Styela clava: one gene and its partner. The protein of the gene in region 2 purifies or fractionates together with the protein of the main gene of each other region. This does not show direct contact. Links are inferred from orthologs where the notes say so. Each region holds a gene or a part of one and is shown on either strand. Other genes may lie near its edges.

Region 1 (7,801 bases), on a different chromosome or scaffold from region 2:
CACTTCTTTATTGTGAGAACACATTTTGATCAGTATTTGTCATTTATCAAGCTATAACATGCAAAATCCACCAAAAAACAGGCTATAAAGCTACAGTATGCAAATAAAAAGCATATGAGGTGAAGTCCAAAAACTGTGTCATGAATCTTCTTTAGATAATGCAAACATAAAAACCTTATATAATTCTGCTGGAAAGTTAGTCTGATGTTCTTCTTTTACAATCTTCATTCCTGCTTGTTTGAATATCCCTCGTAGTTGTGCATGTGTTCTTGTGACACTGCTATCAACTTTATCCCATTCCACATCACCTGATGAGATATTGTCTTTCAATATTAGCAGACCACCAGGCAAAAGTGCATTCTGGCATTTGCGTAAAAATTCTATAAAGTGAGCATCCGTCAAATGTCCTGCATAAATAAAAAAAAGAATTTACGGTACATAGTTTTCGTATAAAGGCTGCTATTAAGTGAAGTTTTCAAGACAAGTGTTGAATATGAGAGGCTAGAACTAATAGAAAGATAAAAATAAAATTTAAAAAACATGTCGTTTTGTAACATTTAAAATTCTATTTGAAAAGTGGTCAATATCAGCAAACAGTTGCTGTTAAACAACAGGCTTGGATTGAGCATGATGTGAAATATTGAACTGTGGTGTGTTACAATGATAATGCTGGGAGCAATTAACAAATAAGTGGAAAACAAAGTTTCTGTTTACGGTAGACAACCAACAGGTAAACATGTTTAGCAAAAAAAACGTGTCACAATTTTTGATTTAAAATTAGCAAAATTCTGTATATGTGGTGTGTTACAATGATAATGCTGGGAACAATTAACGAATATGTGGAAAACAAAGTTTCTGTTACTGGTAGACAACCAACAGGTAAACATGTTTAGCAAAAAAAACGTGTCACAATTTTTGATTTAAAATTAGCAAAATTCTGTATATGTGGTGTGTTACAATGATAATGCTGGGAACAATTAACGAATATGTGGAAAACAAAGTTTCTGTTACTGGTAGACAACCAACAGGTAAACGTGTTTAGCAAAAAAACCGTGTCACAATTTTTGATTTAAAATTAGCAAAATTCTGGATAAACAACATGGCCCACAGAATCCAAAGAAAATATGAAAAAATATCTTTCTAGAAAACAGATTATAATACAAACTACTTCTTGAAAACGCACCTGTTACCCATTGCACCCAGATTAAATCATAAAAATTTGGCTTCAAATTTACATCCTGTAATCCAGCACAGATATATTCTCCCACTTTCTTCGACAATTCAGGTCCTAAATAACTCGGTGCTTGCTTGAGAAATTCACCATTTTGTTCCAGAAGGTCGACAGTGTCAAAAATGTGCAAAAGAAATAATTTGGATACTCTTCCAATTCCTGCTCCACAATCTAATGCTCTCTTATGACGTAATCGCGGATTTGAACCCTGAACAAATATACTATACTTGAATATATGGTGGTAAATGATTACCAATACTTGATTCCTCCTCTAGATGAATGAAATTTCCATACTACATGCTAAATTTTTTTTTTATATAAAATTATAAAAGCAGACGATTGTTACCATCTTTTTTATAATGTTGAATTTTTTCCAACACAATAAGGGAACAAGAGCAATCATCGTTGAAAAAAATAGAATCTCATCGGTTGGGTATTATTATCCATTCATCCATTTAATAATGTGAGAATAGTCTTACTGTAATAATAGCAAAAATTGCTGTCATGCCTGTGTTAATTGAAGGGCTTACATTTTAAAGCAATAAACTGTGAAATAAATTAAAAATTATATTTTTTAGTGGCTATAATAATCCTCAAAATAAATTATTAAGTTATACTGAACACATCTTGGGTCTGGTACAGTTTAGTACCACATGCACTTCCAGTCGGCCTGGCTCAACAATTTTTGCATATGTCAATCCTAACCCCCACCTGACTACGTCACCGAAAAATTACGTCATTCCAACGTCACAGTGGCGTAACAAGGCCCACTAAAGTATGCAGATGGTCGTGCAAAGCGCGCAGACGATCACCGGAAATCGAGCAAGCTATTTCTCTCGTTTTCTTGTCACAACGATCACGATAGGAGAGAGAGATCGCCGGCATTAGCAAGTTCTTTAACTGCGGTGCAGATGCCATTTCGGGCGATCATAATTATACTTTGGCAAAGGCCTATGAAGTGGTGCCGGCGTAATGAATGACGTAATTTTCGGATGGCATAGTCAAGTGGGGATAGGAATAACATATGCAAAATTCGTTATGCTACGCCCACTGGAAGTACTTGTGGTACTAAACTATACTAGGGTCTCGTGTAGTTTCGTACCTAACGTACTTCTAGTGGGCTAGCATAACAATTTTTTGATATGTCAATCCTAACCCCGATCTGACTACGCCATCCAATTACGTCACTACGACATCCCAATCACGTCATAGAGCTTGCCAAATACACGTACAATCGCCCGAAATGGCATTGGCGCCTGCGATAAAGAACTGACTGACGTTATAGATCTCTTTCCTATTGGAATCGCCGCGACGAGAAAACGAGAGGAATAACTGTTCGATTTCGGGTGCTCGTTTGCGCGTCTTGGATGGCAGTTCGTATAGTTTGAAGGGCTCTATTACGTCACTGTAACGTCGTGTTGACGTAATTTTTGGATGGTGTAGTCAGGTGGGGGTTAGGATTGATACGTGAGAAAATTGTCATGCTACGCCCACTAAAAGTATGTTAGGTACGAAACTACACGAGACCCCTGTACTAGACCCCAGATCTTGACATCGTATTTTGTTTTTCTATTGGCTAATTTATTAGTTATAAAAATAGCAAAAAGCTAAAAACAAGTGATTTCTACTGGTAGCGAGTGATAACCTCCTTCAAAATATGAGTCAGTACAAGCAAACCTGTAGAAATTCTCTTAAAAATTTTCTAGAACCAAGAGCATCAGAAGTTGAGATATGGCTATAGCCTCCAAGCATTCCATCCAGGGTAGGTGTTATTGTTTTCCAGTATTTGTCAGCTTCCTCGTAAAAGCTTTTTTCTGAAGATACCTCCTTACATCCTTTGATCAAGTCCATCTCTCACCGGTCATTGCAACCAACGTTTTGACAGCCGTTTCCGCCACGCACACCACCACCGCGTGAAGTCAGCGGAATCACCTTGAAGTTTTGTAACCACAATTCCTAGCAGTGTTCACTTTCAAAATATTACATTCGGGGTACATTAACAAGGCTTATAAAATGGTTCGAATAACTTCAGTACTGTTTAAAAGCGCCAGAAGTTAACAGTTTAAGCAGCATTTTGCTGTAACTTCAATGCTGTTAAAAAGCATCAGTCGTTAATCATTTAGGAAGCATTTCAGCGCAACTTCAGACCTGTTGAAAAGTATCAGTTGTTAAACGCTTAGGTAGGGCTTCACCAAAACTTCAATACTCATATTGGAACTAAATTTTTTAGAACGCCCCTTATAACGGCATTCGTTAAATATCGATAGTTTTTGCTTTATATCTTTCAAACTAATATGGATTTTCTACGCTCTAAAGATAGGTTTAATTTAATGAACGGTACTTTTAAATATTTCAACTGTTAATGTGTCGATATTAAACGAAAAAACGAGACAAAATCGTAATTTTCACGGAGAAATGCGGATTACTTTTATCATTTTGAAAATATTTCTATCTCTAACGTCCGATAATTTAAAAAAAACAGAACTGAATTGGTTAAACACACCTATTTTTATATTTACCTACTGTATTGTACTTTCATTTCAAAAGACAAAATTTCTACTCCTAATGTTGCATATTTTAGCGCACAGCTACTGGCATTTTATGGGTTGCTGTTAGAGAGTTATCCTATTTTCGAGGAAACCTCTTGGTACGCAGCATCATCCGAATGTTTAGAAATGCTTGGTGCTCTAAAAAATGATCTACGATCAAGATAATGAAGATCCAAGCAATTCAGGAAGGTAGATGAAAGACACATGAATAATTCAGAAAATCTTTATTTGCCAAGAAAAACAACAATGGAAGGACTAGAACCACTAGAGTACTGCATTAAATTTCATTATTATGAAACGGGAAGTGACAAACTAAAAAGTAAAACAGTATACAAATAGCAGAAAACTTGTCAACACTCGATTGGCATTTTCAACGTATAACTTATAAACTGTCTCGTTGCTGTTATATTTCTCTCACAAATAAAGTCTCCCGAAAGCTACATAAACATCAGGAATATAAGACATTACTATATTGCACGCTGTGTTAAAGCCATACATCTAATATGTCTAAAATGCACAAAAATGTTTAGTGCTTTGCTCTCAGAATTTCAGCAAAATGAAAACATACTAAAAAAAACAAGTACGTATAGGACTGAATCATAGAGTCAAAAATTATAGGGCCAACACAAAAATCAATCCTTTTTAATTTGCAATCAAGGGAGAAGTAGAAAAATTAGGTGAGACCGCTAAACTCTCTGTGGTTATTGAAGCAGAGTTTCTCAAACTGTGCCTTCGGCTCCACCAGGGAGCACACTCAGCACAGAGAGGTTATCTGAGGCCACAAGCAAAAGCCTTCTCATATATACCATTCATGACTACATAATTTGAAGCGAAGATTCATTTATTTCTTCGACTGCAATACATATATTCTTTCACTTCCGTTAAACATGGCGCATAAATAAATTATGTAAATGCGTTTAAAAGCAAAATAAAATATTTTTATAAAAGAGAAGGCGACCACAGATTATGATAACCACCACTCCGTGGGTTACGTGCCTAGCATTGAATGCATCCTGCCTATTCACTTATTGCACTGCAATCAGATGAGCTGTAACTGATTGTATAATCATTCAGAGGACTTGATAGTTACATACATGATTTCTTTTTGTCATTCAATTACAGGACTGCAACATTATTTTGCGACTTTTTTCTAAATTTCGAACAGATAAACATGGACAGTACTCAATTCCACATTGAAAATTTGTGAAGCATATGTAAAATCAGCAAAATGAAATGAAACACAGTAACTCTTCATCATTGTCCACTGACTATTACTTTTATGCAACCATTAAAATCAGCAGATACAATTACGTTGACTTCTTGCGGATGTTTTTTGGAAGATAAAGATAAAATAGATTGCGGTTTTGATTTGGTTTTTGTCTCTGTATTATTATCAGTATCGTCGTTTTTGTATAAAAGCTGTGGATGAGGAGCAAAGACGGAACAAGTGACGACCGCATCATGAGCTGCAATGAAAAATAAGGTTACATTTGTATATTCATTGGAGAAAGAAATGCTTTAATAGATTTAAATATGGTATATCAAGTCAATGTTATTATTATCATGATGAAGGCAAAGACGATAAGAACAACCATGTCATAAAGAAAACTGCAGCCTCCTGCCCAGTTTGGATATGGAAAAAAGCTAATCGGTAAAAGTTAGCTGTACCTGGACAGCAAATGTTGGCAATCCTTTCCCTCCCTATGAAATTAGATCCCATAATTCACAACTAAATTATCAGACATTCAGTTGCAAGTGGGTTGTAATGCTCATATTCTGATGTGAGCCTGATTATATCTCTGATTATATAACTGTGATAGAAACATGTAAGCACTGTTTTGGAAAGCGATTTTATTTCATTCGATACCTTTCATACTTTCCCAGGAGTCATTACGATCTCTTCGCAGTGATGATAGTTTAGTTACATCCTGTGGTAAACTGGTTCTCCACATGTACACACATTTATCTTCTGATCCACAGATGATGTACTTTGAATCAGGACTAAAATAACAAAACAACAACTTGGTTGAATTGAGCCTACAAATTCCATTATAAAGGAATTCCAGGCTTTTCAAATATACCAACACTTCAATACCACACTAATATTTAAAAAAAAAAAATAATCTGTCTGAAAATTTCACATGAGTTGAATTCAAAATAATGATGTCTAATTCCTCAAAGAGATAAATGCCAACATTTTGTAGAAAATACCCCATAATTTTGATACTAACATACATGAGAAACCATAAAATTATGAAACTTTTTTCATCAATAATTTGCCTCAAAGAATAAAGGCAATAAAGAGTAATAATTCCATACATAGAAACGATCAACACCTCAAGATGACTATAAATTGGACAGCGCTTAACATAATCATTGAGATACAGACAGACGATGTTAGTTTGGCAACAACCAATCCATGTTCTGAGCTAACAACTAATAAAGAAGTTGTCATTTTTAACCAAACCAGCCTAACCGAGTGCAGAATATTATACAAATATGCATAATTCAAATATAATAAAAAACAAACCTGAAACTGGCTTTAATTTGACTGCTAAGATTTGTGTGTCCTTTGTATTTACAAACTAATGACAAATCTCTCAAATCATATAGACGTACTCGAGAATCATTTGACGTTACCTAAAATGATAGTCAAAAATATATTTTATCCAGTGTATCTAAATATTTTTTAGCCTTTGCAGATAATATTCTCTGAGATGAGGAACTTTGAAAAAGGGCAGAGCATGGTTTCATTATGAGGAAAAAACATTTATTTTCAAAAGAAATTCAAATATGAGTTGACTAAAACTTATCACGAATCTAACAGCACCAAATACAAGAAATGGGTTCTTATTCTTACCAAAATTTTATGTTCTCCTTGCAACGGTTCTATTCCTGTAATTTTGTGACCTTTCGTATTTCGACCTCTGGATGACCGAACATGGATTTGTGTGTGATATTTCAAGTGCTAGATGACAAAAAAGGAATAAATTAATTCCCTTCTACACATCATTATCATAGTGCAATCATTATCCATTTCTAACATCAACTGAACATAGCAATAAGGAAAGTGAAATATTGTCAAAGGCAATGAAACATACAACTCACCTCTGTATCAAAAAATATGCATCTTCCATCATAAGTTCCGCATACGGCAAATTTACCATTTTCACAAAAATTAACTGTTGTGATCAATGCTCCTCCAACAGAGCCTGATGACTAAAAATATTAATACTTTCAGAAAAACTCATATAATGATAAAAAACCTTAACTTGCTATCGAGATAATAAATAAAACTGTTAAATAGTGCATACTATGTTAAACAGATGTATTTTTTCGAAAACAGACACTGTCAAAATTTCATTTATAAACTCAAGATTTTCAACATACGGTGCCAAGCATGGGCAAGAGTTACACACCTTTCATGCACATAGTTACATACATAAAATGTCTGACAGATAATGAAAAAATTGATGATGACGAGCAAGATGCACAACTCGCGAATGAAAATCATTAATCTTAAAAACGCTTCAAAGGACATCCAGATTTAGAAAGGTAGAAAACAATGTTTATAATTCAATTTTAACATACTGATGATCCATCAGGAGATACTTCATTCCACAGTGCTACTTTCTTGTCTGGTATATTCCATAACCTTAGTTTGCTGTCTAATGAACCACTCAGAAAATACCTGTCATCCTGAAAAAAACAATACAATATATTATCAGACAGGCAAAAACCCTGCTGCAACAAAATTATTCGACAGTTTATATAAACAATGACAAAGCAATTACGACAAACTCATTACCCAATGAAATTTTTGATGGAGGCTCTGTCTGAACAAGCTGTCATAGTATCAGAAGGGTCAATAGCATACCAAAATGACAACAACCTGGTGAGGGCTATAGCTTGAACCAAAATCTTATGACCCATCATGCGAACCTTCACCTTTTCGTCGTGTTAAATACAAACTCAATCAACAATAAAGTTCGGTATTTTACAGACCATGGAGAGCCCCTAG
Region 2 (7,999 bases):
GAATGGACTATTCAAATCCACAATTATTTGTGGTGAAAGAAAACTTTATCGCACCCAGTCGAGCCTCTAGATCATAGGTTCTCAAAGTGCTCCGTACGGAGCCCCAGGGCTCCGCGAGAGAAACCCAGGGGCTCCGCGAGCTATTGGATTACTTTTCAAAATACTGACTAGTTTTGTAACTGTTCTAATAAGAAGCAATAACAGCTTTGATAAAATCTGACAACGAAATAGCCTCGAAATATGGCAAAGAGGCGGAATTAAAAAATTACATTATTTATAAGCAGGAGCGCAGCCAGGATTCTTAAGAGGGTGGTGGTTCAAAATTGGAATCGGAAATTTCCGCGCAACATTCTTCGCGATTAAAAAAAAACGGATAACGAGATTTCTATTGCGTAAAATATTTAATCCATGACCGATGCGAGCATTTAACGAACAATTGAAATTTATTTTATTGCATTCGGCTCCGTCGGTAGTTTCAGAATGAAAAAAAGGTACATCGCGGAGCGCGCACAATTGATTGCGTGCGGCTCCGTCGGTAGTTTCATAATGGGGGAAAAGGTACGCACGCGCGCACAATTGACTCTTTTTCGATTTCGCAGTTACTACGATGAAAACCTAACATAACACCAATTTTTGTGATTTACAATGTCTATAAATACATTTTCAATCTGAGGTGAGTCTGCTGAAACCAAACCTGTGATCTTCCATTTTAAGTTTTAGTTTTATTATTTTAGAATGCCGCTTTTCAATCAAGAAATTTGAGTTGCGGATTTATCTCTTTATTAATTATTATTTTTAGCATTTCGTAACGATGACTATAATATGGTAACATGTTTTTCACATTGAACTCATAATTCCCCACGAGAACAAAAAAGCGAATAACGTCGTCATTGTGTAACTATACATGTATATATATGCCGAGGGAAATTTTTGATTTAGGGAGAATAAACACCGGCGTAAAGATGTTAAAAGGTTCAAAGACACGCCATGCTGACGAAAAAAATTGGCGATTGTAACAAAATGCAATTGCGCATGTTATTAGCGGCCTTTTAAGTCTTCCAAAAATGTCAAAAGGGAAAAGATTCGACCCCTTATTTATCAATATGTTTGTCAAGTGTCAAATTTACAGCTTTAGTGTATATATAATTTATGTTTCAAATTTAGATTTATGTATGACTTGTATTAACTCTAAGGTTCAGCATTTAAATTAAGTAAAGTACCTTTAACTTGCTCAGGAATATTAATCTGAAAGTAAGAACTTTAACATTTATTTTGGGGCTCCGTGAATAATAGTCAACCTTTCCAAGGGCTCCGCAACACCAAAAGTTTGAGAACCCCTGCTCTAGATCAGTAGTTCACAACCAGGGTTCCAGGCAGCACAGTTCATGGTTTCGAAAAGTTTATATTCAAATCAGAGAATCTATATTTGGTTTTCAAATATATTCATATATCCTACATATTAGGTTTACCGCTATTATTAAAGTTGCAATTTAAGGATTACACAAGGGTTTCTCAAGTCTCTGGAATGATTCAGTTGGGTTCCACTCCACCAAAACCATTGAAAACCACTGATATAGGTTATTGATCACGTACATATGTGTTTGTAATATACACGAACCAATGATTATTAACAACCATGACCGCCCATCCTCTTTCTGCTTTTTCGAATAATCCAGAGGTTGAAATCAAGTTGATTTTCACTTTTACTAAAAATATACATAACTCTTTCAGTAATCATCAAGACCCTTTGAATCTTATTTCAGTTTTTATGAAATTCTATTAGAGGCGACTTTCGAAATTACATTTATATCACGTTAGGTCAGTAGGTTGCTTATGAATGAAATTACCTTCCCCTGTTCCTCCTCCACTTCCTCCTTTTGGTGTGATTAACTCTCTTCGAAGCTTTGCGAGTTTGGCCTTGAGAAGTCCAAGATGCCCAGCAGTTGCCTTGTTCTTCTGTGTTCTTGCCATCTAGCAATGTAAAAACAGAGGCTATTGCAGTATTAAAAAACAATCTTGATTGTCTGTATGTACTGATGTTTTAAACATGCCTAAGAATTGATTGCATAGCAGTATATGGGCCATACTCAGCAACTGTTGAATTTCATCCATTTTTTCAAAAGTGTAGGGAAAGTAATTGTTTTGTATTTTTTATATCTAAGGACACTTGAATTTTATTGGACTGCGTTCATTTCACCGCAAAAGTCAGAATTTCCCTCAGGTTTTTGATGATTTACACAAAGTGGCCTGAAATGTAGAAATTTTGATATAATCGACATGTTTTGTGATGACTCATAACACGAAGCGTTTAATTATCTGGTAGGCCTACAGTTATTTCATTTCAAATAGACGTACTGAACTTAAGTTGATAAGACTTAAGAGTTTGCAGTGCTGTAGGTCATGTTTTCTCCTATTTAAAGATTTATTACCAAAATTTTAAGAGATGTTAGAGGCTGCGGTTCCGGAGTGAAAAAATGTCCCGTAGAGCACATTACCAGCATGGATCTACAGTGTTACATTAAGTAACTTTAGCATCACATATAGCAGTAGACGCGTCCTTCAACTACTGAACTACTGCAACAGAAAATATTATGGGCTCCGGCTGTACTATCGCAACAATTTACAACACAACGAAGCATTAACGCAGGGTGGACTTGCCGCCCTGTAGTGTCACGCTATATTTTACTATATATTTTACATCCACTAAGTTCTAATTCTTGTGTGTCTTGCCGCCCTGTAGTGTCACGCTATATTTTACTATATATTTTATATCCACTAAGTTCTAAGTCTTGTGTGTAACTTTTGTGCAATTTTGTTGAAACCCCATAAAACAACTGATAGGACAATGACACAAAACATGTGGGTGGTGCAGCCCCCTGCGTGTAGTTTCGTACCTCAGGTACTTCTAGTGGGCGTAGCATAACATGGGGGTTCTGGGGTTAGGATTGACATCGTTACACCCACTATGCGCCAGATGCACCGGTACCGCACTTGGGGTACGAAACTACACGAAATTTCAATTTCTTCTGGACGTTTTAGGTTTTCATACATACATTTCATACATACTGGAATACTCACTCACCTCCGACTCTATATCTGCAATTTTTTGTAGGATAGACATTATCTATACGGATGACGCAAGCGATGCAAAAATTAAGTAAAAACGGAAGTTCTGAAGTTTTCAGTATTGGTGGAAAAATAAATTACTGATTACGAAGCCCGGCTCGCATGGAAGAGAAGTAACACACCAACCTAGCCTTTGAACCTAGCATGTGTGGCACTGTGGCACCACACCATTCTCGAGAACAAAGCACGCCGCGGTATCTGCCACTACAAATTTTCAGGTGCCTCAAAATGGTATCTGGGCGTCACGAGCTGCAATTTCAACTTATTTTTTATATCCACTCTATGCTTTATTCGACTCAAAGTGAATTAGGGCTTTTGAATATTGGTTGTTAATATTGTTGTATAAACCGCGGTAAGGTAATCTTTAACCTGCTTTTAAATTTTCCGTAGTCAAGTAGCTCGGCGGTTGCCGGGTGTCGCTGCTCGATAACCATTCCTGGTTCCCCGCGACTTCCCTTCCCCAGTAAAAATGTGTTTTCAGTTTCGTATTTTGTTAATTTCGTATGTTATTTTTTTACTGAATGGGAAAAAATAAACTTGACTATGACTATGACATGGTGCTAGCTCATCAGGATTTAAGGATAGCATTTTTCATATATATACATACGAACAAACATGGTTATAAAAAACGTCTTTTCTCGCTACCAAAACTACATTGCTAAAACATGAAATCAAATACTCATAATAATTGGCACTTCATCAAAGAAAATCAAATTACCATCACATATTATAGTGGATAACGGCAAATTGATAAATTGAATGAAAGTAAAGATGCCGGTAGCAATGAAATACCTGTAAAAAATTCGAAATTGCCAAATTTGTTTTGTCACCTATTTTTTCCCAATTTTTAATCAAATTTTCCATGCAAGTGTGTACCCAGAGATTTAAATAATAGCAAAGGTGGTGCCACTTCATAAAAATGATTAGACGGCTTAAGATAACATACCTATTATTTCGTCTCTCGTCCGGTTACCATTCCATGTCGAGTATGGGATTAGTTAGTTATTTGTTTTCGGAAGTATGGGCTTGATGGTGGAGGAAGCCGTAACCGACCAGCGGTTACGTGAACCACCCCACGGCGGCGAAAAGTCTAACATTCATCTCGCACTAACCCTCCCCGTATGGGATACGAAACTGCGAACCCACGCAGAGTAATCAGAGGTACGGTGGCGTGCGTATTCCTAACGCTTGGCACGATGAGTCACAGCGACGCGCCTATTTCTTCACTGTCGAAAGTTGTGAAAATGTATGAGGATATTTTATATAGTCGAATCAAAGTTTTTTATTTTGAGAAAAACAGCGCTTTAAATCTGTCCCAGTTTGGTTTAAAAAACAGTTATTCAATTGAACTACGGGTAGGTATATCTAAGCTTAAGGAAATGATATTGAATAACAGTGCAAACAACGAGATCACCTGCGCAATTTGTTTGGACATTGAGGAAACATTTGATACGATTAACCACTTAATCTTTCTTAATAAATTACGCCATTACAGTGTTAAAGCTTAAAGGGCATACACTTAATCTCATGGCGTCATATGTGCGTGGTCGTCAGCAATATGTTCAGAATGCGAATATGTATCTGAAATGGGCATCATCAAATGCGGAGTTCTACATGGCTCCACAATTGGCCCTCTGCTATTTTTATGTTATACGAATGATTTTCCAGCTGCATATACTTTCTGTTCATCGCTATTTGAAGATGATACTGTCCTGTTGAAGTCCGCCTCATCTTTGTACGAACTTAAAATTGAAAATATAACGTTTGACTGAGAAATGAAAAATAAAAAAAACTCCATGTTTAGCTGATTATCCAAACAAATGTTCGTTCAATCGATTTTAATGCATAAACTGCCACAAAATCTAGTACTGCAAAAATATATTTTTCCGATCTGACCTTTGCTGTTACATTTCATATTGAGTTTTGGTCATGCTGTGGGTCAGATATGTGCCGGTATATTGGCACATCGTTCGTTTTGGTAATACATGCATTGCATTAGTAATTTTACCGACCGACATTTCTAAACTTATTTGAAAATATCGTCTGTTTTTATCCTTTATACTTAAAAATTCGGCATTTCCCGATTTCCGAAAAATCGGTAAAACATCGGCAAAATTTGTATCGATACATCTCAAGAACTTGCACATAACTTGTATAATAGGATAAAATGGAAGGCGCCAGAAGTCGACCGGAAGTAGTAGAGTGAATCAGACCACGCCGTAAATTCGAATGGTGAGCTGTTTAATTCATCCATGCAACTGTGCTTAGTCATACGTAACAAGAATCGATGTATGAGTGCTAGATAGATTGAGGTTATACAATAAACAGAACATGACACTAGAAACAAGGTTTAAAGAGGAAGTGCTGTCCAGAGTGCAATCTATGATAGATATACGAAATTACAATGCACTATTGAAGTCAGCGGATAATGGCCGTGAGTGAAGACCACACGGGACATAGAAAGAGAGTAGAGACGTGTGTGGTTAGTATGGTAATAACAAGAGAAACGTTTTGGGTTAATACTGGAAAAATCAGTAAACTATTTAACTATTGGTCATTCTGATAGTATAGGGAACGTTATTTTATATATTAGCATTTCCTCATACCCTCCTTTTTTCCGGTACGTCTTAGTTAGGTAAACTATTTCAGCATATTTAAAGTATAACTATAAGGGATGTGCATTTCGCCGTTGCTGTCGACAGTGACCTTTCGTAGCGTGCTTACTCATCAGTGACCTTTGCTGAGTAAAATATTTTAACGTGTGCGACGTTAGCTATTCTTTGGAAAATAAATTGATGGATTGTCACTGTTGTAGGCTATTACTACCTTAGCTATGAATACATAACACACTCTTAGAAGTTACCCATAATCACGATTTTAAAGGTAATACAAATTTGAACATCGAGACAACCTTTAGCGAGCGTTAAATCACTGCAATGATGCAGATCTTTTCAATTTGACATCTTTTATTTCTATTGACGATCAGTCGCGCAATGTTTTAAAACGTTTTATTTACCGCTAAGTTCTTGATTTACCACAACTGTAGTTTGTAGTAGGTGATTGTCACCTATGCACTTGCATACTATTGCACCATTGAATTTTTTTTTTGTTTCACGGATATTTGAACCCATACAAACCCTAACTCGTGGGTTTTAGCACCCGCACATAGATTGAACCCGCGGATATACACGAGGGTTCGAATGTACGTGGGCTCAAATGTACGGTCACCTATTGTCACTAATAATGTTTTATTGATTAGTTAATATGTTTATTTTGTATAACTAACCCAATCATATATATATACGATTATGTATTGTATACATTCGTATGTGAAGTAGGGGGATTTCAGAGAGCATCAACTTCAACACAGTGCATATGACTAAAAAGAGATCATGATACAGTGATGTCTAATTGAAAAAGGATCAGAGCACAGAGGTAGTTTAAAGTCACGTATAGCATTGAACACGGATCGAACGTATGTTTGGTCCACTCACGGGAATCACAGCTATTTCCTTTAATGTAGGCAAGCTTGCTACTAGTTTTCGATAGTCATTAACTATAGGTTCAGTTACAATCAGTACTATTAGATTATATCGTAAGAAGCAAGTAAAATGAATTTGGTGTTTAATGACTGGATACAAAATGAACCTCCGTTTTGTCATTTTATATTCTAAAAATAAAGATGTTTTATGGCATATCGTTTTCAAAGAAAACTTGGCTGTCCGTATATCAAACTCGTTTTAAAAAGATAGAGTTACGACAGAGGAGATACTTTGTTTTGAATGGAAACTGTATGTTAGACAGAGACCATTTAGGAAGTGTGGTGTTGTGTAAGAGGTGTTCGTTTCCTGTAGCTGTATAAATTCAAAACAATTCAAGTTTTACCGTTTTACGTCAACTTATATATATGGATATAATACAATGGTTATAATCTAATATAATTGTTCAATGTTTCAAAGATCTTTCGTCTTTCGTTTTAGGTGGCACTGACGAGGTGGGGGAAAATTAAATACTGTTATTAACTACATCAAAGTAGCATTACCAGGCGCAGATAGTCGTTGATGCTTCGAAAATGTGAATATATTTGCTTTTTGTACCGCAGATATCACTGTCTCAATACATTTTACAACTGTATTTGAATAGTCGAATATAGACTAGCGAAAAGTGCAAGTTGTTGCGATTGTGTATACAATATGATTTGAAGCGGGGCTTATTTAATCATGATACCGGCATACCATTCGGTATTGGGTTCTTCTGGTGTGGCTTCAAGTAATTAGATATTGAAAAATATCTGATGCCGTGTGATAATTACTGTGTGGGAGGCGTTCTTCCGCACCACATTGCACTGATTTTTGACGATAAATGCATGAATGGCGCGTAATGAAGGAAAGACATTTGTTTATGTTGTGCTTATGTCGCAATACGAATATAGCGTTGTATTGGCTAGGTCGTGCTTGGATTACGCATTATATCGTTTCAGAGTATTAGTAATATATATGCATGCTGACATGGCAAGAGGCCGTAGAACTTGTTAGAGTGAAACGTGAGGTTCTATGCACTCCATAGAATAAAATACTACCCAGCAAAACAAAGGAGTCAGGAAGGACGTGCGTCAGGTGCGAAGATCGCAATTGACAATAACTAGCTAAAAGAAATACCAGCGGATTTTTGATACTAAAATCTCGCACGGATATCAAATTAGGATTTGCGGAAATCCGACGTTTCGAATCTACGCTAACTAATATATATATTAGATATCAAGTGAACTTTAGGTTCGTATTATCACCACTGCGAAATTAAATTAAAAGTGTCATAGTTTACAGGACAAGAGCTATGCTTAGTATGCCGTCTTCGCTAGTTTGTACATTGTTTC

The links.
Region 1: the proteins of developmentally-regulated GTP-binding protein 1-like (region 2) and N-terminal Xaa-Pro-Lys N-methyltransferase 1-A-like purify together in Homo sapiens (affinity purification with mass spectrometry; 3 studies listed by BioGRID and IntAct, counting the BioPlex papers as one, with this or other methods). This does not show direct contact. The link is inferred for Styela clava from reciprocal best matches to the Homo sapiens genes DRG1 and NTMT1.

The regions. Positions count from the first base shown.
Region 1 is NC_135257.1:16,046,746-16,054,546, reverse strand, and holds the start of N-terminal Xaa-Pro-Lys N-methyltransferase 1-A-like, read right to left. Parts: upstream 3,243-7,801; 5' UTR 3,083-3,242; coding exon 2,909-3,082; intron 1,440-2,908; coding exon 1,184-1,439; intron 408-1,183; coding exon 139-407; 3' UTR 1-138. Other genes in the region: WD repeat-containing protein 44-like, read right to left, coding at 5,035-5,246, 5,648-5,781, 6,311-6,420, 6,641-6,748, 6,889-6,999, 7,372-7,479. UniProt on the Homo sapiens protein: Distributive alpha-N-methyltransferase that methylates the N-terminus of target proteins containing the N-terminal motif [Ala/Gly/Pro/Ser]-Pro-Lys when the initiator Met is cleaved.
Region 2 is NC_135252.1:4,173,018-4,181,016, reverse strand, and holds the start of developmentally-regulated GTP-binding protein 1-like, read right to left. Parts: upstream 3,277-7,999; 5' UTR 3,122-3,276; coding exon 3,083-3,121; intron 1,972-3,082; coding exon 1,848-1,971; intron 1-1,847. UniProt on the Homo sapiens protein: Catalyzes the conversion of GTP to GDP through hydrolysis of the gamma-phosphate bond in GTP. Appears to have an intrinsic GTPase activity that is stimulated by ZC3H15/DFRP1 binding likely by increasing the affinity for the potassium ions.